7 linked regions of the Macaca fascicularis genome follow. The protein of the gene in region 1 interacts with the protein of each later gene in a pairwise test. Links are inferred from orthologs where the notes say so. Each region holds a gene or a part of one and is shown in the gene's direction. Other genes may lie near its edges. The genes, in order: BANP, LENG1, CAMK2D, MRRF, CEP76, FHL5 and FOXM1.

The links.
Region 2: the proteins of BANP (region 1) and LENG1 interact in binary tests that used the Homo sapiens proteins (3 or more experiments, as listed by UniProt). The two-hybrid records come from large-scale screens. The link is inferred for Macaca fascicularis from reciprocal best matches to the Homo sapiens genes BANP and LENG1.
Region 3: the proteins of BANP (region 1) and CAMK2D interact in binary tests that used the Homo sapiens proteins (3 or more experiments, as listed by UniProt). The two-hybrid records come from large-scale screens. The link is inferred for Macaca fascicularis from reciprocal best matches to the Homo sapiens genes BANP and CAMK2D.
Region 4: the proteins of BANP (region 1) and MRRF interact in binary tests that used the Homo sapiens proteins (3 or more experiments, as listed by UniProt). The two-hybrid records come from large-scale screens. The link is inferred for Macaca fascicularis from reciprocal best matches to the Homo sapiens genes BANP and MRRF.
Region 5: the proteins of BANP (region 1) and CEP76 interact in binary tests that used the Homo sapiens proteins (3 or more experiments, as listed by UniProt). The two-hybrid records come from large-scale screens. The link is inferred for Macaca fascicularis from reciprocal best matches to the Homo sapiens genes BANP and CEP76.
Region 6: the proteins of BANP (region 1) and FHL5 interact in binary tests that used the Homo sapiens proteins (3 or more experiments, as listed by UniProt). The two-hybrid records come from large-scale screens. The link is inferred for Macaca fascicularis from reciprocal best matches to the Homo sapiens genes BANP and FHL5.
Region 7: the proteins of BANP (region 1) and FOXM1 interact in binary tests that used the Homo sapiens proteins (3 or more experiments, as listed by UniProt). The link is inferred for Macaca fascicularis from reciprocal best matches to the Homo sapiens genes BANP and FOXM1.

What each region holds. Positions count from the first base shown.
Region 1 is NC_088394.1:83,878,931-83,882,430, forward strand, and holds part of BANP (protein BANP), read left to right. Parts: intron 1-235; coding exon 236-392; intron 393-3,500. UniProt on the Homo sapiens protein: Controls V(D)J recombination during T-cell development by repressing T-cell receptor (TCR) beta enhancer function. Binds to scaffold/matrix attachment region beta (S/MARbeta), an ATC-rich DNA sequence located upstream of the TCR beta enhancer.
Region 2 is NC_088393.1:61,962,034-61,965,986, reverse strand, and holds the start of LENG1 (leukocyte receptor cluster member 1), read left to right. Parts: upstream 1-1,153; 5' UTR 1,154-1,176; coding exon 1,177-1,308; intron 1,309-2,422; coding exon 2,423-2,602; intron 2,603-3,358; exon of another isoform or gene 3,359-3,455; coding exon of another isoform or gene 3,456-3,515; intron 3,516-3,599; coding exon of another isoform or gene 3,600-3,761; exon of another isoform or gene 3,762-3,771; intron 3,772-3,862; coding exon 3,863-3,953. Other genes in the region: voltage-gated chloride channel TMC4, read left to right, coding at 1-23, 329-407, 500-568.
Region 3 is NC_088379.1:118,990,660-118,994,159, reverse strand, and holds part of CAMK2D (calcium/calmodulin-dependent protein kinase type II subunit delta), read left to right. Parts: intron 1-175; coding exon 176-404; coding exon of another isoform or gene 405-408; exon of another isoform or gene 409-448; intron 449-1,919; coding exon 1,920-1,986; 3' UTR 1,987-2,015; intron 2,016-3,224; coding exon of another isoform or gene 3,225-3,228; 3' UTR 3,229-3,500. UniProt on the Homo sapiens protein: Calcium/calmodulin-dependent protein kinase involved in the regulation of Ca(2+) homeostatis and excitation-contraction coupling (ECC) in heart by targeting ion channels, transporters and accessory proteins involved in Ca(2+) influx into the myocyte, Ca(2+) release from the sarcoplasmic reticulum (SR), SR Ca(2+) uptake and Na(+) and K(+) channel transport.
Region 4 is NC_088389.1:35,718,160-35,721,659, reverse strand, and holds part of MRRF (ribosome-recycling factor, mitochondrial), read left to right. Parts: intron 1-2,918; 5' UTR 2,919-2,946; coding exon 2,947-3,130; intron 3,131-3,500. UniProt on the Homo sapiens protein: Responsible for the disassembly of ribosomes from messenger RNA at the termination of mitochondrial protein biosynthesis. Acts in collaboration with GFM2. Promotes mitochondrial ribosome recycling by dissolution of intersubunit contacts.
Region 5 is NC_088392.1:80,750,057-80,753,556, reverse strand, and holds part of CEP76 (centrosomal protein of 76 kDa), read left to right. Parts: intron 1-1,250; coding exon 1,251-1,379; intron 1,380-3,500. UniProt on the Homo sapiens protein: Centrosomal protein involved in regulation of centriole duplication. Required to limit centriole duplication to once per cell cycle by preventing centriole reduplication.
Region 6 is NC_088378.1:78,768,504-78,772,677, reverse strand, and holds the start of FHL5 (four and a half LIM domains protein 5), read left to right. Parts: upstream 1-1,374; 5' UTR 1,375-1,602; intron 1,603-4,174. UniProt on the Homo sapiens protein: May be involved in the regulation of spermatogenesis. Stimulates CREM transcriptional activity in a phosphorylation-independent manner.
Region 7 is NC_088385.1:3,746,744-3,750,890, reverse strand, and holds the start of FOXM1 (forkhead box protein M1), read left to right. Parts: upstream 1-1,347; 5' UTR 1,348-1,603; intron 1,604-4,147. UniProt on the Homo sapiens protein: Transcription factor regulating the expression of cell cycle genes essential for DNA replication and mitosis. Plays a role in the control of cell proliferation. Also plays a role in DNA break repair, participating in the DNA damage checkpoint response.

The sequences.
Region 1 (3,500 bases):
GCCCTGGGTGACTTGTCCAGTGGTTAAGGAATGAGGCAGCGGGTGGCGTTTTCAACTATTTGTTAATTTTCAAAGAAACTTACCTTTTGGTGGTTTGAGGCAAGAAGAACCCTGCATGTAAAAATCCACAGACATTCTCGGCCTCTTGCATACATGTGCACGGCTCGTGGTTTTCATCATTTCACATGTGGCGATGGTTAATGTCCTCTCCTCCTCCTTTGCTTCTGTTTGGTAGGTGACCAAAAGCCAGCCCCTCTTCGAGTGGAACTCTTGCGTGTTGACCGGCCACTCTCCTGTGCTCTGGATGATGTCTGAACACGACCTGGCGGATGTGGTTCAGATTGCAGTGGAAGACCTGAGCCCTGACCACCCAGGTACAGAGCTGTGGGACAGTAGGTGAAATATTATTCTCATTACTCTTGAAAAACCAAAAGCTGCTGCAGTTATTTTCTTTTCTTTAAGCAGAAGTGAAAGTAATGCATGCTGTATATGAAAAAGTTTGAATCCTAGAGATGTGAACATTGTCGGCCCCTCCCTTCCCTCGCCCCTGCAGCCTCAGCCCCATGTTCCTTCTGGAGGGGGCCCCTGTCACACTTTGTCTCGAGGGCTGTCTCTGCTCCTGCTGCTCGGGTGTGTGTGTGTGTTCTACACCCTCTCCCCTGCCCCATCCCTGTGTGTGGCGTCGTGGATCCTTACCATGTTGTGTGTGTAATCCCCTGTGTGTGGCGTCGTGGATCCTTACCATGTTGTGTGTGTAATCCCCTGTGTGTGGCGTCGTGGATCCTTACCATGTTGTGTGTGTAATCCCCTGTGTGTGGCGTCGTGGATCCTTACCATGTTGTGTGTGTAATCCCCTGTGTGTGGCGTCGTGGATCCTTACCATGATATATGTGTAATCCCCTGTGTGTGGCGTCATGGATCCTTACCATGATATATGTGTAATCCCCTGTGTGTGGCGTCGTGGATCCTTACCATGTTGTGTGTGAAAAGTCAGCTCTGTTAGCAACTCCGCAGAATTCATTCACAGGTGCCCCCTCCACAGTTGACTTTTTCCTTCAGGGGCTCCTGGCATAGTCTGTCTGATTTTTCCTTTATACACAACCCTATAGGGAAGATCCTTGCATATGTATCTTGGCAAATAGAGAAGTTCCCAGAAGGAAAATTGCTATGTGTGTTTAAAATTTTGTTAAGACACTGAGAGGTTCTCTAGAAATGTTTTACTAATTCTTCCACTCACAGTGCTTGAGAACACGTTTTTTTCTACACCTTTGCTAAGGCTGGTAATTTTAAAAAATGATGTTAAAGGCACATGTCTACTTTGAAATAATAAACTTGTTTAAAGGAGACCCTTGAGAAATGAAACCTTAAATTTCAGGAACTTCACCTCTTCATCTGTGAAAACACTTTGTCCACACTTACTGTTTTAAAGAGATTTCTTCTTCGTCGTCGTCTTCTTTTTTTTTTCTGTAAAGTGGCATGTGTTTTATTGTTCTGTTAAGTTTGAAGTGACAAGCCCACCACAGCTAAGTCACTGAATGTTTCGGTTGCCTGGTTATTCTTTCAGGAATGTTCGAATTGAAAGGCTGACAATTTATTCCTCCAGAAGAGAGAATTTTCAGAACTCTCATAAGGAAGTCTGATGTCCATTCCTATGATCTGTTTGCTCTGTTAGTCGAGAAAACTACATGTGGAGACTAGTTGTAGTCTGGAAGGGGAGGGCAATAGAAATAGTTTTGGGGTGAGGTGAGCAGTCCCAGGGGAACATGAAGGCAGCATTTCAGGAGTGCTGTTGGTTAGTTTTCCACACGATCACTGCACATTATTTTACAAATCCCTGTTTCTAGTTTAGAAGGCAAATGACAGTTTCTTTAGAAAACATACACTGTAATCTTGTAAAAGAAAACTGTTCCAGTTACATCATTTCCAGTGATTTCAGAACCATTAAAGTTCTGACAGCCTACTTCCCCAATAAATCTCTCTTTATAGACCGTGGCCCAAAAAAAGCTTAGAGAAATAATTTCGAATCTTGATTTTGTTCCATCTCTGTTCCTTAAATGCCTGAGAACTATGATTTCTTGAGTATTTGTTAAAAGCCTACTGTGCGCAGAGCTCCTTGGCCTGCCCAGTACAAAGCCTGCAGTCTGGACCCAGGAGAAGGTGTGCACAGCTGCAGGTACCTTGGTGTGTCACGCATGTTTGCATTCATTGTGGGTTTAAAGTACTTTCCTCATCTCAAAAGTATACATCTAATAAAGTTTAACAGGATAGTCAAGAAAGTAGAAGAAATAAAAATTTTCTACAATCCTACTGGTTGTAGCAGCTTTTAAATTGTTGATGTGTATGTCTTTCCAATTTCTCCTTATTTTTATTTAAAAGAAAGACTTCTAGGATCATCTGACTTGATGTGTACCGACCATGGCTTGTGCTAACTCTACCTGTCTGAATGCAAAAATTGTGACTTGCATAAGGCCTGTCATTGCAGTTGATTGATTGTGATGTCTTTATTTATTTATTTGTTTATTTAAGACAGAGTTTTGCTCTGTCGCCAGGCTGGAGTACAGTGGCATGATCTTGACTCACTGCAACCTCTGTCTCCTGGATTCAAGCGATTCTCCTGCCTCAGCCTCCCGAGTAGCTGGGATTACAGGCGCCTGCCACCATGACCGGCTAATTTTTCTATTTTCAGTAGAGACAGGGGTTTCACCATGTTGGCCAGGCTGGTCTCGAACTCCTGACCTCAGGTGATCTACTCACCTCGGCCTCCCAAAGTGCTGGGATTATAGGCGTGAGCCACTGCACCCAGCTTGATGGTGATATTTTAAAAATGAACAAGGAGTTATTTTAATTCTAAAAGTAATGCATACAAAATTATAAAAAGCAACACATACAAAAAGCAGCAAAGTACAAAGAAGAAAATAAATGTCACTTGCTGTTCCATTACCTGTGGAGTCATTACTGGAGTTACTGCATGCCTGTCTGCTGCCCTTATGACGAAACTAGCTCTGTGACCCCAGAGAAGTCCCGTAACCTTTCTGGACTTGTTTTCTTCTCAACAAACTAAAAAGTTAGAGTAATAAGTGCGAGGGTCTCTCTCTGTTCTTCCAGGCCTGGTGTGATGACCAGTTTCCAGTGAGAGTAAAGAGCCTTTGACTGAGGTCCTGGGAACCTTTGACTAACCACAGGCACTTGCGGGCATGGAGTTTGAAAAGTTTCGTTACGTGAGAATTCATCTGCAAAGGCTTAGGTGGTGATGATTGATGCGCTCCCTGCCTCTGAGGAGTCATGAGGCCGAAGGCAGGGCCATGTGCTGCTTGTGAGCCGACAGTAGTCCTTGGCTTTGGATAATTTCCCACTGGGTAGATCAGATTTGACTGCTTTTGCCTAGGACCTGTGAGAGGTTCCTGTTAGAACTGTGGGACAATTCTGCATCTTTAAGTTTCAGAGTTTTGAGCGGAATCATCTAGTGGGTACAGGCTTAAAGGCACGGACCTTCTTTTTTG
Region 2 (3,953 bases), on another chromosome or scaffold:
GCGCCCCTTCTGCTGATCTCCAGGTGAGGTGGGCCAGACTTCTGGGTCTGGGTTTGAATGCGTGTGATCTGGGGGCCACCACCTGCGTCCAAGAGAGGAAAGGCTTGGGGGTGGGAGCAGGCGATGTACTGAGTCTGAGGGAGGAGGCCTAGGCTCCTGGACTGCTGGGTCCGAAGGAGGAGGTGGGCGGGACTTAGGACTCCTGGATCTGAACGCGGAGGTGCTGGGAGACTGAACTCCTTGAGCCTGGACGAGGAGGGACTTAGGGGTCCACATCCCTGACTTCGAAGAGCGTGTCAGGAGTGGCTTCCGTTCCTGTCTCCTCCAGCATCCTGATGGCGTACACTGTGGCTCGGGCTAACTCCTACGGACGCCTCATCTCTGAGCTCAAACGTCAGAGGGAGACGGTGAGCCAGGCGGGTCCCTGAGAGGGCCCCCGGGGAACACGGAGAGGGGCTGGGGAAGAGGGCTGTCACACCTCCACCTCTCTTTGCCGCAGGAGGCGCAGAATAAAGTCTTCCTGGCACGGCGCGCTGTGGCGCTGACCTCCACCGAACCGGCTCTTTGACCCCCGCAGCTCACGCCCCACTTTCAGACCCCAGGCCCATTGTAAGCCTAGGTCACAACATCTGTAAACTAGGAGAACTGGAGAAGACTCCACGCCCTTCCAGCTTTGGTATCTGGAGATTTCCAGGGCCCCTCGCCGCCACGTCCCTGACTCTCGGGTGATCTTTCTTGTATCAATAAATACAGCCGAGGTTGCTGAGCGCGCTTTGAAATCTGCGTCCTGAAGGTGGGGGCAGGGCTACCGCAGGGCAGGAGCCAATCAAATGTATGGGCATGTTTGTCGGTGCGGAGCGCACTTCCGCAAGGAGACTTGACGGTCATGTCGACCAATCGACGGCCGCATCTGGTAGCATCGGGGCGGGCCAACTTATGATTGGTTCAGATCTGTGATAAGAGGCGGTTGCTAGGGGATACCACGAGCCGAACGCCTAACATTCGCTGTGAAAAGGACGTCTCAGCCAATCACCTGTCGTTACAGGCCAGGGGGCCGTACCAACTAATTCGGAACCAATCTGCGGTCGAAGTAGGGACAAGAGGAAGGGGGGCATCCTCTCGCCAATCGGAAGTGCAAAGAGGCGGGCGTGCCAGTCCCTGGACAGCTACGACGCCATGAATATCTTGCCCAAGAAGAGCTGGCACGTCCGGAACAAGGACAATGTCGCCCGCGTGCGGCGTGACGAGGCCCAGGCCCGGGAGGAGGAGAAGGAGCGTGAGCGGAGGGCGCTGCTGGCTCAGCAAGAGGTAAGCTCGGAGGCCGGCCGGGCTGACCGCCGGAGCCCAGCGCGCACGCGCCGCGGTTGGGGGCCGGAAGCGGAAGCGTTGCGCAGGCTCAGTGTGCCCCGTGTGAAATTCGGGACCAGGCGCCGATCCCGTTTTCGAGGACGTTGCTCTGCAAACCTTGTGGCCACTTCCACGAAACCTCCCTTGATCTCGCCTTCGTCTTAGTTTCCCCCCACTGATGTATTTCACATGGCTGGAACAGTGTCTAGCACAAAAGAGCAGCTTAAAAACATTTAATGAATACATGAGCGCTTGGACAGTTCAAGGAAATTCGGATCACTTTTTAGTTTGCCTGCGCAGTTTATTTATTGAGCACCTATTGTATGCTAACTACATGCAGAGCGCCTGACTTGCGGAATCCCCAGGAGGCACTGTTCGTTCTTAGAGGGGCACTGTCATCTCCGTTGCACGGAGTGAGATGGCTTCAGTGAGGGGAAGGCACATTTAAGGAGAGGGGGACAGCCAGGCTCCACGCCATCGGGCGAGCCCTTTCCTGCACCGCCCCCTAGACACATACACACAAACACGGGCTTTCTGTATGGCTCCTTAAATCTGTTTGGTGTACACCCAACTTTCAGTTCCTTAGCTAGTCTGATCCTCCACAGTGGGTGGGAGGTAGTCTGGGTTTTTAGAATCTCAGTAGGCTGCTGAGCGCTGTTTGAAATCTGCGTCCTGAAGGCGGGGGACAGGGCTTCAGCAGTCGACTTGGGGTAGTGACTTGGAGCCATGGCTAGAATTCAGATCGTCTGGCCTAATGCAGTTTGGTCTACCTTTATGGCTGTTTTAATTGTCTCACTTGAGGTTAGGAACCCCTTTGGTTTAGGCCAGGGACCTCCTTCCAGCCATCCTTGATGACCCGTGGTTTACGATTTGAAAGGCAGTTTACAAAACCCAGGCGTTGCCTCATCTGCCTACCCTCACCCCCAGCTAGGACAGGTGCCTCTTTTAAGCGTCTAGTGCTCCCTTTCTTATAACCCCAGCACCCTGGACTGCCATTTTCTGTGGTGGGCACCAGACTCACAGTTCTTGAATCACCTCTAGGTTCTGAATGCCCTGCCTATAACTTTCTCCCCAGGCCCGTACAGAATTCCTACGAAAGAAAGCCAGACATCAGAACTCACTGCCTGAGCTTGAAGCAGCAGAGGCGGGAGCCCCAAGTTCTGGCCCTGTGGACCTGTTTCGGGAGCTGCTGGAGGAAGGGAAAGGAGTGATCAGAGGCAATAAAGAGTACGAGGAAGAAAAGCGACAGGAGAAAGTAAGCTGGCCTCACCCACTTCATTAGAGGAGCCATGAATCGAGTTGGGGGGAGAGGGCACTTTAGCCACTGCTTGTGATCAAGGTCAAACGAGAACGAACACACAGAATTTAGAACCATACCAAAGCATGACACTTAAGAAGTGTTGCCATCTGGGCACCCACAGGGCTTGGAGGTAGATGCTAGAGGTCCCCAGCTGCCAGGCAAACTGCTCAGTTCTCAAAACTGGAGGGGTCTGAAACCTTGATAGGCTTTTAAAAATGTAAATCAGCCAGCTGTGGCTCATGCCTGTAATCCCAGCACTTTGGGAGGCTGAGGCAGGTGGATCACCTGAGGTCAGGAGTTCAAGACCAGCCTGGTCAACATGGTATCTCTAAGAATACAAAAAAATAAGCCAAGTGTGGTGGTGCACGCCTGTAATCCAGCTACTTGAAGGCTGAAGCAGGAGAATCGCTTGACCTGGGAGGTGGAAGTTGCAGTGAGCTGAGATTGCGCCACTGCACTCCAGCCCGGGTGACAGAGCGAGACCCCATCTCAAAAAAAAAAAGAAAAAAAAAAAAAAAGGCGAATCATTCGCCTCTTGCCTTTTGGCTAAGATCAAGTGTAAAAAGTATGTCTGGTCGTGCATGGTGGCTCACACCTGTAATCCCAGCACATTGGGAGGCCAAGGTGGATGGATCACCTGAGGTCAGGAGTTCAAGACCAGCCTGGCCAAACATGGCAAAACCCCGTCTGTACTAAAAATACAAAAATTAGCCGGGCATGGTGGTGCGTGCCTGTAATCCCAGCTACTAGGGGGGCTGAGGCAGGAGGATTGCTTGAACCTGGGAGGCAGAGGTTGCAGTGAGCCGAGATGGTGCCACTACACTCGAGCCTGGGCAACAGAGCGAGACTGCATCTCAAAAAAAAACAGGTACATGAGCTCTTGTCACTCACCTGCTGTCTCTGGACTTGTTGACCCCACCCATGGCTCCTCTGCTTTGCTTGATCCCTTCAGGCTTCTCTTCAAGTCTCTCTGCAAAGATGCCTGCCTCTGAACACTCAAGTGGCTCCACTTGTCCCCTCCTTCCCCTGCTGTTACCTGCCACTGTCCCCCCAGGGGGAACTTGGCCTCTGTTGGTGTCTTCCATCCCCAGCACCTGGTACAACTGGTTCATGACAAGCCTTAGGTACCTGTTTGCTTAGATTCCTATGTCAGGGAGACACACCTGACACCTTGAAAGATTATATCCCATCTCTTGTATTTCCTGGCCCCCTCAGGAGAGGCAAGAGAAAGCTCTGGGCATCCTGACATACCTGGGCCAGAGTGCAGCGGAGGCACAGACTCAACCCCCTTGGTACCAGCTACCCC
Region 3 (3,500 bases), on another chromosome or scaffold:
TCCTTGCTTTGTACAGTGCCCAGTACCAGATTAGTATAAATAGTAGATTAATTAACTAATTAATTACTGACTGAATAAATGGCATTTCATGTATTGGTCCTAACTGAAGTTATTACTGGTTTTAGTTTCCTTTACATAGAAACTAAATTTTGCTTTTCATGTTTTTCTCTTTCAGCTTTGTCCAAAAGCAATAAACCAATCCACACTATTATTCTAAACCCTCATGTACACCTGGTAGGGGATGATGCCGCCTGCATAGCGTATATTAGGCTCACACAGTACATGGATGGCAGTGGAATGCCAAAGACAATGCAGTCAGAAGAGACTCGTGTGTGGCACCGTCGGGATGGAAAGTGGCAGAATGTTCATTTTCATCGCTCGGGGTCACCAACAGTACCCATCAAGTAAATATTCCCAGGCTGTCAGCTTCTTTGTTAATACACCCATGGTCAGCTTCTTCTACTTATTCCATTGTTAATAGCGTGGTATATGTTATTTAATGCTAGTAGTTGGTTACACTGATGAAAATAAATGACTTCACGGGAAAGGTTTATGATTCTCTGGAAAGATCAATCAGATCAGCCATCTGTGGGTTGAAACTTGCTATAGAGCAGTATACAATAGGTTTGGATAGGACTAGAGACTACCATATCAAAATCTCACAGTGTTAAATCTAGGGGATTTGTATAATAAGGCAAAATATTTGTGACTTCATTTTCTCAATTGACAGAAGGGGATATCAGAGGAAAGCATAGGGTGGAGTTTCTAAAATGGCCAATATATTATCAGGAGTTTCATTTCATGGACGATCCCCTAAAGCTCAGTTACAGAGACCCTTTTAAAAGGCCATTGTCAGGTAGTGCAATGTCGTTCTCACCTCACCACTCTACCTCAGATATCATTTGCTTTTCCAGTCAGCGATTAGGCACATATTTATTGTGAATCTCCTAGGTGCTTAACCTGCGCCAGATTCAACACAAGGTAAAAGATATTGCTTTCAAGGAACATGCATTCTCATTTAGTCAATCATTGATTCTAAAGAAAAAAATGATATAATAAACTTTATCATCAACTTAAGAATACAGTAAAATTCATGAACAGTGTAGTAAACTGTTTATAACAGTTTGGAAGTACACTTTGTGTATAAGATAGAATTTTGGACAAAATCTTAAATGATGAGTAGAATTTAGAGACATAGAAAGATAGAAAAAACAAAGGAGAATAGTCCAGGCTAAAGGAGCATCGTGAAGAAAAGTACAATATCAGGATTTAGTTTAATATGAGAGAACATTATTGGTAAGGAATGCCGGTTACAACTAGAGTAAAGAGGAATAATTGAAAATAGGTTTATTAGTAAAGTGGAGTGATAAGAAAACAAGAAGCGTTTAAACTCAGTGTAGAAGATTGGTCCACTGTTGATCTCTTTCCGAATTATCTCACCAGGATCACCTGTTAATATTTGGGATTTGGAATGGGGGTTCATACAAACAGCCATTCAACTCACTCCAGAGAATCCATCATGATTTCTTAGTTTGATAACATACCACAGTGGTTTTCAGAGGCCTTCTGTATAGACTTACTACTTATATATCACTGTTGGATTTGTAAAAAGTGGGTCAACAGGGACAAAAAAAAAAACAAAACCAAACGATAGGCTGAAATTTATTCCCAAAACCATAGCTATGTAATTAAGAGAAAAACACAAGAGGAATATGAAGATAATGAAGACACCTGTTTTTGTGTGTTTTTTACCCCAAAGAGGTACAGCACAAATCACCAGTTAATATAGAAGGGGTTACATTCATACAGTACCAGAGGGTTAGGTTTTTTTACAATTCCCTGAAGTGTTTATGGGATGAAGCCTATTCAAGAAAACTTCATTTTATGCCAGGTGGCTTAAATGGGGCTTCTCTTAATAGGCCACCCTGTATTCCAAATGGGAAAGAAAACTTCTCAGGAGGCACCTCTTTGTGGCAAAACATCTAAGGCCTGAAAATCATTCACATATGGGTCTTGTAAGTAACATCCTGCTCCGTGATACTTTGTGATTGGAGCTGAATGAAAAGCTGCATGGCTGTTTTCCTTCCTTTTGAGGATATTTTTTCTTGCATAATATTCAATGAAAAACATACACGGTCTTTGAAAATTCATAGCAATTTTGCATGAGCTTTTGAATCTAACATTCAGCCCTATTTGGTAGCATAATCCTTATTTTAAAGGTAATAAACATTGAAATGAATTTTTTCCAACATGTGGATTATGTCATGTTAGAATCCTGAAGTTTTCACATCAAAAGTAAATTATGTCTAGGTCAGTTCAGATAACTCTCAATTATCCTTACTTAATTTATATTAAGCTTTAGAATCCTCTGGTGTCTTAACCATTCTTTCAAGAGGTTGCAATTCTATAAGCAGCTGGCTATGGTGAATGTGTAAATCAATTTGCTGTGCCTGACTGAGTATAATGGTGCTTGACCATGAGCACAGGCCACAGGAGGAGTCAAGCTGAAATTTAAAACTCACAAAGTGGGTAATTCCAGAGGATAATTGAAAGTTGACTGTAATTAACTTCATGCTTTTATTGTTGTTTTTAATTAGTTGTTTCTTAGACTTGGGTTACAAGTATTCAGATATGTATGGTGCTGTTGTGAATATTTGCCTCATTCAGAGAACTAAACCTTATCAGAGCTTTTAACAAATAGTGCTCCCAGCTGTTGCTTTCAGCAAAGGAGAGCTCCAATTAAAGAGAGTAATCATGTTCTCTCTACTTTTGAGACTATATTCCTTGTTAAATTGACTTCTAGGTTTAATTTCCCAAGGAATCTAATAATAATAACAAAAACTAAGGATGAACTTGAATTTTAAGTCTATTTCAGCAAAAAGATTATATTCATTTACTAATTTGTCCAGTAAACAGGAATGCTTAAGATGTATACTTAGATTTAATAACGTGACTGAAGCCTGGGTCCCTGTCTCTTTATTTTTAGCTTAGCTTTGTGTGAAAAAATAATTAATACTCATTTTCTATTTTAATACTGTCTTTGTGTAACATTGTGTGTTTCTTCCTGTAATGATCACAAGCAAACATCTCTTATACATAGTGTTCTCAATCTATTTGTTAGCCAAGTTATAAAACTGTAGCATAGTCAAATCTATGGCAAAGCAATTTGATGATATTTTGTAAAACAATATAATTTATTTCTTCCTCTCCCTTTCTCCTTTCAGCTAAATATCAACAGTGCCACTTCTGCATTCTCTGTTCTCAAGGCACCTGGATGGTGACCCTGGGCCGTCCTCTCCTCCTCTTCATGCATGTTTCTGAGTGCATGAAGTTGTGAAGGTCCTACATGTAATGCATATGTGATGCATCATCTTATCATATATTCCTTCCTATACATTGTTTACACTTCAACTACGGGGATGTTCCGTGCAAACTTAAATTACTGTTGGCAAAACAATAGGGGGAGATTAGACAAAAAGAAAAAATCCACAATATTCCAA
Region 4 (3,500 bases), on another chromosome or scaffold:
AGTGTTTTATATGCATAGTATAGCAGTTAATAACATAGACTCTGAAGCTGGATTGCCTGAATTCAAATCTTAGGCAGATTTTTGCTTCTGTTTTCTTATCTGTAAAGTGGGAATAATCATAGTACTTCAGGGTTATCATGAGGCTCAAATGAGTTAACGTGTGTAAGCCACTTAGAATAGTTTCTGTCACGTAGTCATTGTTATATAAATGTTAGGTATTGTTGTCATTATTGTTATCTTTTTAAAGCCTCATTAATATCACTATGATGATGATGTGGAAGCTGTAGCTCAGAGAGGCTAAATGACCTCCCCAAGGTCACACAGCTAGTAAGTGGAGGAATTGAGATTCCAGTTCCAGACTGCGTCCAAAGCTCAGACACTTCCCCACATTGCTTCTATGTATAGCTTAATTTTGTTGGCGAATACTTGGGATCTCAACAAATTTTTCTTCAACTTTAATTCTTTTATCTGTGCTGAACAGAATGTTAATTTGTACACCCTTAAGGTAAAGGACCTAAAGGACTGCCTTTATTGAACTTCCACTTTGAAATTTTCTGACTTCTGCGCAATTAAAATCTACGCCTTACGCGTTTCAGCAATGTGGTTTATTTATAGAGTTGTCTTCCGGTTCACGTGTACTGGGTCTGCTTTTGGGTGCTGCGTTTTCTGTCAAAGGTTGTTTATTTCTAACCCATTTTGATTTCCTGTTGCTTTGTGAGTTGGTATTATGACCTGCAACAGGAACACCAGGAAACCTATCTTAAATGGAGCAGCCAGATTGAGATCCTGTAGACTAAAATAAAAAACTACTCATTATTCTACAGCCATATTTGGTTGTAAGTATGAATTAGGCATTGGTTTTATTAGGGAAAAACCTAGATATAGAAACTTCACTCTGAGCCAAACCTCTGTGAACAGTTCTGCTAAAATAGAGCTTGGCTATTAGCTCCATGTCCTTGGACAGTGACTTAATCTCTCTGAACCTCAGTTTCAACGTCTGTAAAATGGGGATTATTATATGTTCTTTGCGGCATTATTGAGAGAATTAAATGAAATAATATGGGTAAAGCAAACAGTCCAAACTTGACCTCAATTAATAGTAGCTATTGATACTAATAAAGAAGAAAAATATTCCTTTTTTCATCAAATCTGTTTTTATAGACTTCATACACTGATCACTAACTTCTAGTATCCCTTACTATTAAAAATTCCATCAAGAGAAGTTATTTGTCTTTGTGCTACTCATTTGCTTTAAAAATAATAGCCATCATTTATTAAGCTGCTATATTCCTGGCACTATGTTAGTTGTTTACATGTATTCATTATTTCATTTTATTTTAAGTTCAAAGTTATTTTTATCATTGATGAGGAAAGTGATGCTCAGAAGAGTAAATTGCCTAAAGTTGAAATTTACATCCAGGTCTAATTGTAGGCTATTTTGTACATCATTATTAACATACAAGGTTTCTTTATTGTGTCTGACCCTGACATAATAGTTTTTGAGACCCGGCATAGTGGCTCACGCCTGTAATCCTAGCAATTTGGGAGGCCAAGGCGGGTGGATTTCCTGAGCTCAGGAGTTCACGACCAGCCTGGGTAACATGGTGAAACCCCGTCTCTACTAAAAATACAAAAAAATTAGCTGGGCATGGTGGTGTGTGCCTGTAATCCCAGCTACTTGGGAGGCTGAGGCATGAGAATTGCTTGAACCCGGGAGGTGGAGGTTGCTGGGAGCCAAGATTGCGCCACTGCACTCCATCCTGGGCAACAGAGTGAGACTCAGTCTCAAAAGATAATAAAGATAATATTTTTTAAAAAGTTTGAAAGAAAAGGTGATAGCTTTCAACAGGTATTATTTTGGGGGGCTTCTGCTGTTTGCTAGGTACTGTGTCAAGGGCTTTACTTGCGTAACCTCATTAATTATTCCCAACCCTAAGAAATGAGTACAATTATTCCCATTTTACAGTTGAAGAAATCAACGATTAGAAATATTCAGGAGTATTTAGTCAGTAATGGAGCTAGGATTGGCTTCCAGGTCTTCCTGACAGCAAAGCCCATGTTATTCATTCCATTATGTTGGATCAAAATTTTAGGATGGGATTTTTTAAAAAACATAAGATGTGGGACTGTTACTCAAAGGAAGCAGCTTCCAGGTATTTGATACTAATTGTTCTTAATTTTTAGCTGAGCCATAGCAACATTACTGGCAGAAGCTATTAATGATATATTTGTCAGTTAGCTAGGGCTGTGTTATATCCTGAGGTAGTTGTAGGCAATGGCATCTTTCCATGGTCAAAGACCTCAGATGTAGAATGCGTAACTTGTGTTAACACAGTAGAGAGTGGCATTTTCCAGAGCTCTAGTTTTATACCATGGAAGACCTCAAACCTCAATCATGCTTTAGACTCACATTAAAGGGCATCCTAATTGGTAATCAGTGCGTAAGGAACCAAAGAAAATTTTAATTAAATGCTGTCGTGTGAATTTTTCCAGTCATTTTATGCCTGTTGAGATGGTTTTCTTATTTAAAGTCCTCTTCTAGTGCTCTGCCTTCTCTCTTTAAACTTTATCAAGATTTTGTGCTTTTCTCATATAAGGGTTTAATTAGAATCATTAAAATTTTAGTCTGCTGCATATTTGCTTAATGGGCATTTTGGTGCAGTGGAAAGAACTTGGGGTTTGGAGTCCAAAGTGGGGAAGTTACTTAAATCTCTGTAAGCCTTAGTTTCTTCATTCTGTAAAATGAGGCAAATAATACTTTCTTCTAGGGCAGTTGGGAAAAGGATTAGAGATAATGTATTTAAATTGTCTAGTACTTAGCTCAGTTTATAGGAATTGCTTGATAATTAGTACGAATTATCTGAAGTTGCAATACGGTCTCTTTTACTTAGATCTGCTTTTTGTCTTATTCTTTTTAGTGGATGTTTCCAAGGATCGTCTTCAGTCATGGCCTTGGGATTAAAGTGCTTCCGCATGTTCCACCCTGCCTTTCGCAATTATCTTGCAGCCTCTATCAAACCCGTTTCAGAAGTTACACTGAAGACAGTGCATGAAAGACAGCATGGCCATAGGCAGTACGTGGCCTATTCAGCTGTACCAGTCCGCCATTTCGCTACCAAGAAAGCCAAAGGTAGAGACATGTGATGTTCTCTCCTACTTCGCCCCTTTCTTAAATTTGGCCCTTGAATTATAGCTGGCAGGTATCTCAGATGTACTGAATTTCTCCCCTTGCTAACATGAGGAAATGGGGCCTCAGCTATTTCATTTCATTAACTTAAAAGGTTACAGTGGCAGAGATGGTGTTACAACCCAGTGCCTGTTTTCTTATTACCATGCTGCCTCATTTGTTTTCTTAGTAGCTCAGAAAATGCCTAATTTCTTTCTTTTAGATTTAGAGTTAGAGGTATAAGTGCCAAGCGAGCCAGAATGCTTGTAGCAGGGATCAATATATTGTCTCCATATAGGAAGATACATGTTGGAAGTATAATTAAGACCAGAAG
Region 5 (3,500 bases), on another chromosome or scaffold:
ACAGCGGATATGATATAGTGGTTATTGGGTGACTGATCATAGGTCAGGTGACTAAGGTAGGGAAAGGGTCTGAACGGCAGGAAGTAACCACCCACACAAAGATTGGGGCTGAGCTTCCAGCATTGAGAACAGCCTAGAACAAAAGCCCCTACGGAGGAACGAAAGCGTCGTGTGGCTGGAGTGTAGTGGGCTGGAGAGAGAGGAGAAGATGAGATAGTCAGGCCAGCGTTCATAGGCCGGGCAGGTATTTTGCAATGTGATGGAGAATGAAGTTTTTTTTTTGTTTTGTTTTGTTTTTTTTTTTTTTTTGAGACAGAGTCTCACTCAGTCGCCCAGGTTGGAGTGCAGTGGCGCAATCTCTGCTCACTGCAAGCTCCGCCTCCCGGGTTCACGCCATTCTCCTGGCTCAACCTCCCGAATAGCTGGGACTACAGGCGCCTGCCACCACGCCCGGCTAATTTTTTTTGTTTTTAGTAGAGACGGGGTTTCACCGTGTTAGCCAGGATGGTCTCGATCTCCTAACCTCCTGATCCGCCCTCCTCGGCCTCCCAAAGTGTTGGGATTACAGGCGTGAGCCACCACGCCCGGTCGAGAATGAAGTGTTTTAAACAAGAGAATGACAGTGTGTTTTGTTTTGTTTTGTTGAGATAGAGTCTCACTCCATCGCCCAGGGTGGAGTAAGGTGGCATGAACGCGGCTCACTGCAACCTCTTCCTCCCAGTTTTAAGCAATTCTCCTGCCTCAGCCTCCTGAGTAGCTGGGATTACAGACATGTATCACCATCCCCAGCTAGTTTTTGTATTTTTTGTTGAGACGGGGTTTCACCATGTTGGCCAGGCTGGTCTTGAACTCCTTACCTCAAATGATCCACCTGCCTTGGCCTCCCAAAGTGTTGGGATTCAGGAGGCTGAGGCAGAAGAATTGCTTGAATGTGGGAGGCAGAGGTTGCAGTGAACTGAGATCACGCCACTGCACTCCAGCCTGGGCGCCAGAGCGAGACTGCATCCCGCCAACCAAAAAAAAAAAATTCTGTCTTGGGAGGAAAAAAAGGTGACTTATGACTATTGTATGGAGACTGGCTTGGACTAGGGGTAAGTGTAGAAACAGGGAAGTCAGAAGGCTCTTATAGAAGATGATGATGACTCAGATTAGGGTGGTAATGATGTAGAGAAGTAGATAAATTTGTTACATATTTGGTAGTAATTAAGGATAATGAATAGAAATTGAAAAATATTTTTTTAAATTTCAAGCTTGCTTTGGAACGTCAGAAAACTGCAGAGAAAGAGCGATTATTTCTTGTATATGCCAAGCAGTGGTGGAGAGAATATTTGCAAATTCGACCCTCACACAACTCACGACTCGTTAAGATTTTTGCACAGGTTTGTAAATTATATTAGAATAATTTTATGCCTGTATTTGAGATTTACTGTTACGTGTGTAAATTTCGTTTAATATTTATTTGTAAAATGTATTCCAAAAAATAAAAGTGTATTTGTAAAATAAAATGCTGATTTTGTAATATTTTCTTTAACTGCATAGGTGAGTGGCAAGATCAATCTATGTCTTATTTTACTTTCAATTTCAATTATTGTGGGTTTTTGAAAAATCAGCTTTCTCAGGTTGAATCTGTTATTGTGTTTTAAACCCTTTCTGAATATATTTGATTTAAAGTAGATGAAAATCCATTTTGTTTAACTTGGAATGTGTATTTGCTTGATATTTAGTGCTAAATAATTAACCATTTGGACACTCTGCAGGTTATATGTAAATCCAGCTCTTGTGTGCAGAACCGGGGGGCTCTGGGCATATATATTTTTTTTGTTAGGGTTTTAAAAAAAATTCTATATAACCATGACCTCTAAGCCAGTGACCAGTAATGTTTAACTGAAGCATTTCAACTATATATCTCTGCCTCCATTTTTCCTGAGTCCTAAACCCATTTTTTCTCTTTTACAGACCAACATAAATTATATGGTCAGGGTCACTTATTTTTTGTAACTCCTAAGGAACAGTTCAAATATTTTGTATATATTCAGCCTCATATAGATGCTTTCATATAAGTATAGTGTAGTATATTAAGTTTCTCTGATCCTGTGCATCCATCCAGCTTTACCCTACTTTCCCTAGATTTTGGAACAGGCTAAAAGTGGTTTAGTTTCCAGATGGGGAGCTTGGGAATGAGAGGTTGACTAGAGGTGGGAATAAGGGAAATGGCTTCTGACTTTCTGATAGCGTTGTTTATATATTGAATGACTGGTTGGCAAGGTAACAGCAATATCAGGACAAGGGCAAGGAGAAACCAATCAAAATATAACTGGCTTCCTGGCTGGGCACAGTGGCTCACGCCCGTAATTCCAGCACTTTGGGAGGCCGAGGCAGGTGGATCACCTGAGGTCAGGAGTTCAAGACCAGCCTGGCCAACATGGCAAAACCTTGTCTCTACTAAAAATACAAAAATTAGCCAGGCGTGCTGGCGGGCATCTGTAATCCCAGCTACTCAGGAGGCTGAGGCAGGAGAATTGTTTAACCTGGGAGGCAGAGATTGCAGTGAGCCGAGATCACGCCATTGCACTCCAGCCTGGGTGACGGAGTGAGACGGTCTCACGACAATAACAACGACAAAAAATATACACACATATATAAATAAACACAGATATGTGTTTTAAAAACTGGCTCCGTGCTGTCTATATAAATGAGGCATTTCTTCGTTGCCATGTGGAATTAGGAACTAGAGAGGACTCAGGATGGAGTAAGGCAGTGAATCAGAGAAATGGTAGGATCAAAGAGGAGGAAAAAGTTGCGACGCACTAAGGAAGTCGAGGACGTGGGGTTTTCTTTTACGAAATATTACTTAAATGAATTCCACTCTCTGAGAATTCATTGTAAGATTTGAACCATAGAAGGTAATTTAGTCTCATAGTAACCATATAAGATTGTCAAGTGGCCAGGCATTGGCTCTTTTTGTAAACAGTATGAAGGTTAGAGAAGAGAACGCTCTTTTCAAGGCCAAACAGCAACTCAGTCATGGCAAAGCCTGTATTAAACTGGAGTTTTTACTGGTGCCTTTTTAGTTTGTGCCACCTCTTTCCATACACAGAGTAAATAAAATGCTGATTTAATTTAGATTCGCCAGACCTGTTTCTTGCTGCTGCTTCCTGTATTTGACTAGTTATGAAATTAAAGAACAACAATATAAAGCAATCTAATTATAAAAACAATATTGCTTTTATAGATGAAATATACGTAAATATATATAGATGATATACAGATATATCCTGCCTTTAGAATGTAAAACTTTTTCTAGAGTGTTTTTTGAAATTTTGCTTTCAATTGACTTGGTTAACGATTTTTTATTTTTTAGCTTGTGGGGATATATTTAGATAATATTAGAATATTGCTATAATAAAATGATGTATCTTACATTCTAAGATGCTACTATTGATGATTGACTTAGGCAAATGCTTCCACTTCTTATGTACTCATCTTTTCTTGCCTGTTAG
Region 6 (4,174 bases), on another chromosome or scaffold:
CTAAAGACCATGCTCTTTGGGTTGCTAATCAAGGTTGTATATGATCTTAATGAAGCTTTTTTGGAGTGGTTCAAGTGAAAGACAGATTGTAATAAGTTGGGAGGGAGAAGGAAACTCAGAATGTTGTAGATTTGGAATGACTTGGTGAATGTAGATTACCCTCTCAGGAAGCAGGGGAACAAATGAAGAGGGTGATGGTCCCAGGCACTTTTACATCTCAAAGACTGCTTTCCTTGCCCATAAAACAAGGAAAATACAGCTAGTACCTGCTTAGCAATGGTGTCCTAAGGATTAAAATCTATTACTAATGAAATATACTTATATCCTTTTGCTGAATCCAAATTTATTGTTGTTAATCACCATATGTTCATTTTCATAATGTCTTAATCAGTAAAGTCAAGTGAATAACAAAACACACAGTTAACTGGCTCTGCGTTTCCCTAGCTCAAGTTCTTTGACTGTATATACCCGAGTTTGACCTTAGAAGATACTAACATTTCACTCCTTTAGCACTTAGAACAAGGACAGTTTAAGTTTGGTCTGGAATTAAGGCAGAATTTCTTCTCTCATCCTGCCTTCCAAACTGAAGAAATGGCCTCAAATGGAGATTCTAAGAGAAAATGTCACTTGCTTTATGAATCAGTGTGCCCCTCTGAGAATACTTATTGTGGATTGGTTTAATATCCAAAACTTTCTTCAGATCCAACTCTTGACATCGCTGTCTACTTTTTGTGTTTCGAAGATTTCAAAAAACCCAATGAGTTTATGCTTTATGAAGTCATACAGCCATGGATGTGATGTCACAATTGTGGCCAGCTCACCAGGAAGCAGGCAGAGCAGGAAAGGCTGGGCCTACACTGCAAGTCCAGAGAGCAGGGAACTACCTTGAGTACTCTACTCAAACTTATGTCTCAGATTTCCCCAATTTCCCAAGAAGGCAGTGATAGAGGCCACAACCCAGGGGGTCATCTCTCAAGGTACCAATAGCTTTGCAGGTAAGAGCATGGGGCCTCATCTCTTTCCAGACAGTCCAAAAGAAAAGCTCAGCAGTTCAGACATTTCCAACCTAAAAGAAAGGTTCTGATCACCACCAGAAAACAAAGAAAACAAAGCCAAAAACAGATTGAGGAAACAGAAAATACATCATGCTTTTAGAGCATTATTTTTATAAATATGCCCTTAATTTAGCCTAGTTAGTGGAAATTTCTCAAGTGTGTATGTGTCTGTGTGAACGTTGTGTATTTTAAACTTTTTGGAGCTTAGCCAGATACTTCGAATGCTAATCCTGGCAGAATTTCCCTTTAAGGATGTCCTGCAGAGAATTTGTTACTCATAGTTTCAAGTAAAAATTGACAAGTAGTGCTTTTTCAGCCCAGTAGGAGTAATGCACATGGTGTAAGACTTGGAGGAAATGCAGGGACCCTTCTGTTTTCTCCCGCAAAGTTGAAAAAGCTACATGCAGTTGGAAAGGATCTTCAGATGGTGCTGGTGACTTTCTGTTCCTTTGGGAGTTAACACGCATATGGATTGGAGGAAAAATAATCAACATATATTCTCCTTTTGTATTGTTTAAATTACAGGAAGAAGCGGCTTTAAGACAAAGTGAGTTCTTTCCCCCAAATGTTTCCTTTGTTTTGTTTTGTGGTATTTCGACTTCTCTAATTTTTTTTTTTTAAGGATGAGAAATTTTTATAAACTTTCCAGTAACTCCTTAAGAGAAAAATTTTGCTTGGCAAAAGTGTATGCCTTTTGAAGTTTCTTGGCCATTTTAGCTAAAGATTATCAAATTTTATATGCTGAGCTTTTCAGATTTATCATTCTCATAACTTGCGTGTGGAGGTTACATAGTGCCAGATAACTCCTTGGAATTGTCTCTTGAGTTTCTCTAATGGTTTTAATGCAGGGTACAGCTTTATTGTTGTAAAAAGAGGAAGAAGAGGAGGGCTCTTGAGATTTTATTTGCCTTCGTTTATTTGAATGAATAATATTATCACTTAGCATATTTTATGACTAGATTTATATTTCAAGAGCACATTTTGAAGTCACTTACAGGTTTTAAGTAAAAGGAGTTAATGAGATTCCTGCTATTTTCAAGAAAAATCTGCCTACTTTCCAGAAGTGGGCATACAAAAATTCATAATCTTAGGTTTCCTAAGGTTAAATTAAAATATCTGTGTTTCCAGCCCACAGAAATATATAATAGACTCTATCAATTTAAAGTGCTACTTCTTGAAACAGAGGTAGTGTTATTCAGGCAAAAAGCATACACGCCATATGTGTTAATGCTTTCTCTCTCACTATTTTAGTCCTATCCTCTTTGGTACCTATCATTCATTTGAAAACCAAATGTAGCTCCTCGGCTGTCATTTCAGACTTCAGAAAATTGGAAATTAAAAAGAATTATTAACAAAATGCATAGCTCTTATACATAAAATGTAAGGAAATCCTTGAGCTCTTTTAGCCCTCATTTCGTATCCACAATACCATCATGTGTAAATACTAGCATTTTTATTAGCAAAGCATATGGATTAAAATTTAACATAAGTATTGCAAACATATGTATCATACAAGATATTTCTTAACATATGTGTTATGATATATGCTTAAAGCCATAATCCAAATTGCTTTAAGGGGAAGGTAAACTGTGGTGTCTGTTTTCTACACTTGTTCTATTTATTCTCACATTATCATTAGTTGCCAAATCTGGGACTGTTCTACCTAAGCAAGAGTAGCAGATTTGTGTTTTAATATAACACCACCTCACTGACAAATTTACCTCTTATTTTCATTACACTTGCCAACATTTTGAGTAAAGCTGAATTAATTTGTATTTATTACACAAGACTGGGTACTTTTCTACTAAAATATTACAAATAAGAGTTTAGAATATTTAGAGATGCTTTAATTTGTTTTTATTTTTATGTTTTCAATTGAGGGGATATGATCTCTTTAGAAATGAAAGCTGAATACTTGGGTCCGCATGGGAAGCTCTGAATCAGATATTAGTTAAACCAGCTTGCATTTCCCTGTTCTCGTAATTATCTTTTTCCTCTCCAATTACCATCATTTTTCTTGGTTGCTTTTTGGTACCCTTGAAAGCTCACTGAAGAAGAGGAAGAGAAGAAAGAGGTAGAGGAAGAGGAGGAGAAGGAGGACTCCTTTTTGCCCAACATGCCTCAAATCCCTGCAAAATAATCAGCTTGAGGCCAGGCATGGTGGCTCACTTCTGTAATCCTAGCTTTGGGAGGCCAAAGTCGTGGGGATCACTAGAGCCCAGGGGTTCAAGACCAGTTGGGGCAACATAGGGAGACTCTATTTAAAATAAAAATAAATAATAAGCTTATTGATGATATACCCTAGTATTTTATATGAACTAGTAAAGCATTCTTATGGGTTTGGATTTACCTTATCTTTACTATATGTCTAAACTTTCACACGGGCTAATTACCCTGATTAGAACATACTAGGGTATGTCAACAGCAAGGTTTACATTCATTAAATAAATAAAGATAGAGAGTCTGTTTGAAAGCAATAGTGTGATGTGGAGAAGACAGTCAAGGTTTTGAAGTGTCATTCATGCTGAGTTTTCTATGAATGAGAGCAGGTGAGTTTGCCTCCCTACCTTAAAGATATAATTAAAACAGCTGTATTACAGAATTTTATATTAGAATAATAATAACAGTAGTCATTTTTATTTTTTTTCTTCTCAAATTCTTCGGTTGCATTTCCAGCACCAATGGACCTTAAATTTATCTCACTTGATTTTTAGCAAAGCTTTGAGCTATTCCTTTGCATATTCATTTTGTCAAAGGAGTATTTACCAAATGGATCCTGAGTAGATTATTTTGATAAATTCAGGTTGTCTCCTCACATTTAAAAATATACCTTTTTGTATTTTTACAATTTCATTGCAATTGTAATCCTCTAAAGATGGTGGTGTGGAAGTGGAGTGGAGAAATATGCTTCTGGGGCTTGTTTTCCAGTTTGATTCTGTTTAATTATTTCTTACAATTGTTCATAAAACAATTTAAGTAACATGTCATAAGTCACATGACTTCTAAGAATTTTCTTCTTTTTTCTTTTTTGCTTTTATTATTACTATAGACATATAACTGTACATATCTATGGGGTACAATGTGATGTTTGTATACATGTATACAACAAATTATCGCAT
Region 7 (4,147 bases), on another chromosome or scaffold:
AGACGGTGTCTTCCTCTGTCACCCAGGCTGGAGTGCAGTGGTGTGATCACGGCTCACCATAGCCTCCACCTCTCGGCCTCAGGTCATCCTTCCACCTCAGCCTCCAGAGTAGCTGAGACTACAGGCATGCACCACCACGCGCGGCTAATTTTTAGTAGAGAAGTGGTTTCGCTATGTTGGCCAGGCTGGTCTCGAACTCGTGACCTCAAATGATCCACCCGCCTCGGCCTCCTAAAGTGCTGGGATTACAGGCGTAAGCCACTATGCCCAGCCCACATTTGTTTATTTGATTCTTTTATTTTATTTTATTTTATTTTATTTTTTTAGAGACAGAGTCTCACTTTGTTGCCCAGGCTGGAGAGTGCAGCGGTGCAGTCTTGGCTCACTGCAACCTCCGCCTCCCAGGTTCCAGTAATTCTCCTGCCTCAGCCTCCCAAGTAACTGGGACTACAGGCATGTGCCGCCATGCCCGGCTAATTTTTTTTGTTATTAGTAGTAGAGATGGGGTTTCACCATGTTCGCCAGGTTGGTCTCGAACTCCTGACCTCAGGTAATCCGCCCGCCTCGGCCTCCCGGAGTGCTGGGATTACAGGCGTGAGCCACCGCGCCGGGACTATTTGATTCTTTTAAAATATCAGTGCCCCTTTTCCACGATTGGACTGTGAGCCCGGGGGAAGGAAAGAACCTTGTCTGCCATTGTATCTTCAGGACCTGGCGGGACCTGGCACAGAGCAGGTGCTCAACTAGACTGGTTGACTAAGTAAATAAAGAAAGCACCACCGTCTACCATAGCCGAAGGCTTGGCTTTGGGAGGAGCCAAAGACAGGTCAGTACTTGAAGATTTCGCGCAGAGGTAGGGTTCGTGGGGCCGACATTTTTTTCAAGATGGAAGAAAGCTGAGATAATACACAGCCCTCAAAGAACCCTCAGTCTAATCGGGGGGAGCAGACGATCGTTCACTGTACGAAAACGGGGTACGATTTTCCCCAGGAAGGAAATCAACCGAAGCCGACCTTGGAAGAGGGGAGCAGAGCAGCCCGAGGGGAAGCGGGGGCGTGTCGCCCGGCGTGACTATGGCGGCAGGGAAAGCGGACCCAGGGACCCGGGCCTGTCGCGCCGCTTCCGCACGTCCCCAGACTGTCCCTCCGCTCGCCCACCCACGCGGCGGGGACCCCTCCGGCCCCTCCCAGGCCCCACGGCCACTTCTTCCCCCGCAAGCCGGCCCGCGGCCCGCCTTACCAGCCCGGGCCGGACTGGGCCGCAGCTCCTGTCAGATCGCACAGCCTTCGAGCCCGGAACGCCGAGACAAGGCCGGCGCCGATTGGCGACGTTCCGTCACGTGACCTTAACGCTCCGCCGGCGCCAATTTCAAACAGCGGAACAAACTGAAAGCTCCGGTGCCAGACCCCACCCCCGGCCCCGGCCAGGGACCCCCTCCCCTCCCGGGATCCCCCGGGGTTCCCACCCGGCCCGCACCGCCGGGGACCCGGCCGGTCCGGCGCGAGCCCCCGTCCGGGGGCCCTGGCTCGGCCCGCAGGTTGGAGGAGCCCGGAGCCCGCCTTCGGAGCCACGGCCCAACGGCGGCGGCGACTGCAGTCTGGAGGTGAGCGGGATACAGGAATGGAGTCCCGGGCCTGGCCTGGGCACAGGCGGGGAGCGAGGCCTCCGGGCGCGGAGGTCAGGGCGTCTGGCAGCAGGGCACGGGCCACGAGTGGAGGTTTGGGCCACACGGGAAGAATCTGAGCCCGGGTGCAAATGTTTTCTGCATCCAACCTCCTGGCCGGGGCCGTCTCATTACTTAAAGCGCCCCTTGGCCTTCCCTGGAAGTCTGACCTCTGCACGCTGCCCACGGCCTCGGGAGGGCTGGGGTGGCCTTTCTTAGGCCGGCTGCGGCTGAGATGAACACTGAGCACAATTGTACTACGTTGAGTCAAAGACCAACCTGCACACATACTCCCCTGCTCCCAGGCTCTCACCACTAGGCAGCACTGCCTCCGTCTTACCCATTTGCAGGGCCCTTCTCCTGGGTCCTGAGAATGTAGCAAGATTTCCCCGCTCAGGATGGAGATGGCTCAGAGGACCACTCTGGAAGTTTCCCGGGCAAGAAAGTGTTGGCAATAATAATATCAGGCTGGTCAGAAAGTAGAAGAAAAAATTAAGACCTAGATATCCTGTGGAAAAAGAGGAATAATATCTACTGATCGATGCGGGGAGAGAGGGAAGCCTGGAAAGATCTGAAGTGAAAGTAAAACTGGCCGGGCGCGGTGGCTCACGCCTGTAATCCCAGCACTTTGGGAGGCCGAGACGGGCGGATCACGAGGTCAGGAGATCGAGACCATCCTGGCTAACACGGTGAAACCCCGTCTCTACTAAAAAATACAAAAAACTAGCCGGGCGAGGTGGCGGGCGCCTGTAGTCCCAGCTACTCGGGAGGCTGAGGCAGGAGAATGGCGTGAACCCGGGAGGCGGAGCTTGCAGTGAGCTGAGATCCGGCCACTGTACTCCAGCCTGGGCGACAGAGCGAGACTCCGTCTCAAAAAAAAAAAAAAAAAAAAAAAAAAAAGAAAGTAAAACTGAGATTTGGAGGTAGAGGTGTGGCGGGCCTGTGAACTCTGCAGATGACAAATGTCAAAAAATTACAGTTGCTTTTCAGGGAGAGAATAAGTGTCCTAAAAAAGAGACAGCCAATTCCTCTGTCTCCCAAAGTTCCATGAAATAGAATTATACAATTTTGCTTAATGGTAGAGTATTCCATGTATCTATTAAAATCAACAAAAGGCTGGGTGCAGTGGCTCACGCCTGTAATCCCAGCACTTTGGGTGGCCGAGGCGGGTGGATCATCTGAGGAGTTCAAGACCAGCCTGGTAAACATGGTGAAACCCTGTTTCTACTAAAAATAAATAAATAGATAAAAATTAGCCTGGCGTGGTGGTGGGCGCCTGTAATTGCAGCTACTCGGGAGGCTGAGGCAGAAGAATCGCTTCAACCCCGGAGGCGGAGGTTGCAGTGAGTTGAGATCGCGCCATTGGTCTTGCCTGGGTGACAAGAGCGAAACTTCCTCTCAAAAAAAAAAAAAAAAATTAAAAAAATCAACAAAAGACTTAAAAAGAAAAAAAAAGACTATGCTGTTAGCATTTCAGAACCACCTTAGTGTATTGATGATAGCTCATTCTGGTGGTAAGGAGACAGGGGTTACAGTCTTATTTCTGGAAAAGAAATTAATAAAGTGGCATGCTTAGAAAGTTAAAATATGTATAACCACATGCAAGTACTAAAATGCCACTGTATAAATACAGTACGAATTGTAAAAGAACACATTCTTTTTAAATTATAGCAAGTATAATAGCGTGTGAAATAAATGTCACCCTCTAAAGTTGTTCAGTGAACAAGCTGCACAGCTTTACATGGGCCTTCAATAGAGGTTTCCATTTTATGTGAGGTTTTGTAAACTGGGAGATGATTTTTCCAGTAGTGTGGCAATAGTACAATCTGCCTTTCTTCCCTGATTCTGTGTGCACTGGTCCTATTTACAAAGTAACATAAAAGTTAAAAAGCTTGGCCAGGTGACTTGCGGTGACTCATGCCTGTAATCCCAGCACTTTGGGAGGCCAAGCCAGGTGGATCACCTGAGTTCAAGACCAGCCTGAGCAACATGATGAAACCCTGTCTCTACTAAAAATACAAAAATTAACCGGGTGTGGTGGCAGGCGCCTGTAATCCCAGCTACTCAGGAGGCTGAGGCATGGGAATCGCTTAAACCCAGGCAGCAGAAATTGCAGTGAACTGAGATTGTGCCACTGCACTCCAGCCTGGGTGACAGAGTGAGACTCTGTCTCAAAAAAAAAAAAAAAAAAAAAAAAATTAAAAGGCTTTATCTTAGAATGGATTATGGGATCAGAGTTTTGTCAGGACTCCTAACTACCATATGCTTTCCTATTCTAGCATCTTCCATTCCTGTCCATACAGTCATTGCAAGTGATCTATTTATATTATAGTAGGCAATTATAGAGATTTCCACATATTTGTAGCTATCCCATCCACTTCTGTAGCTAAATATTTTGAAGCTTCAAGAAGGAGATCTTTGTCTATCTCCAGCCCAGTCCCATTTTTACCCTTTGAATTGCTTCTGTCTGCTGTAATTTTAGCC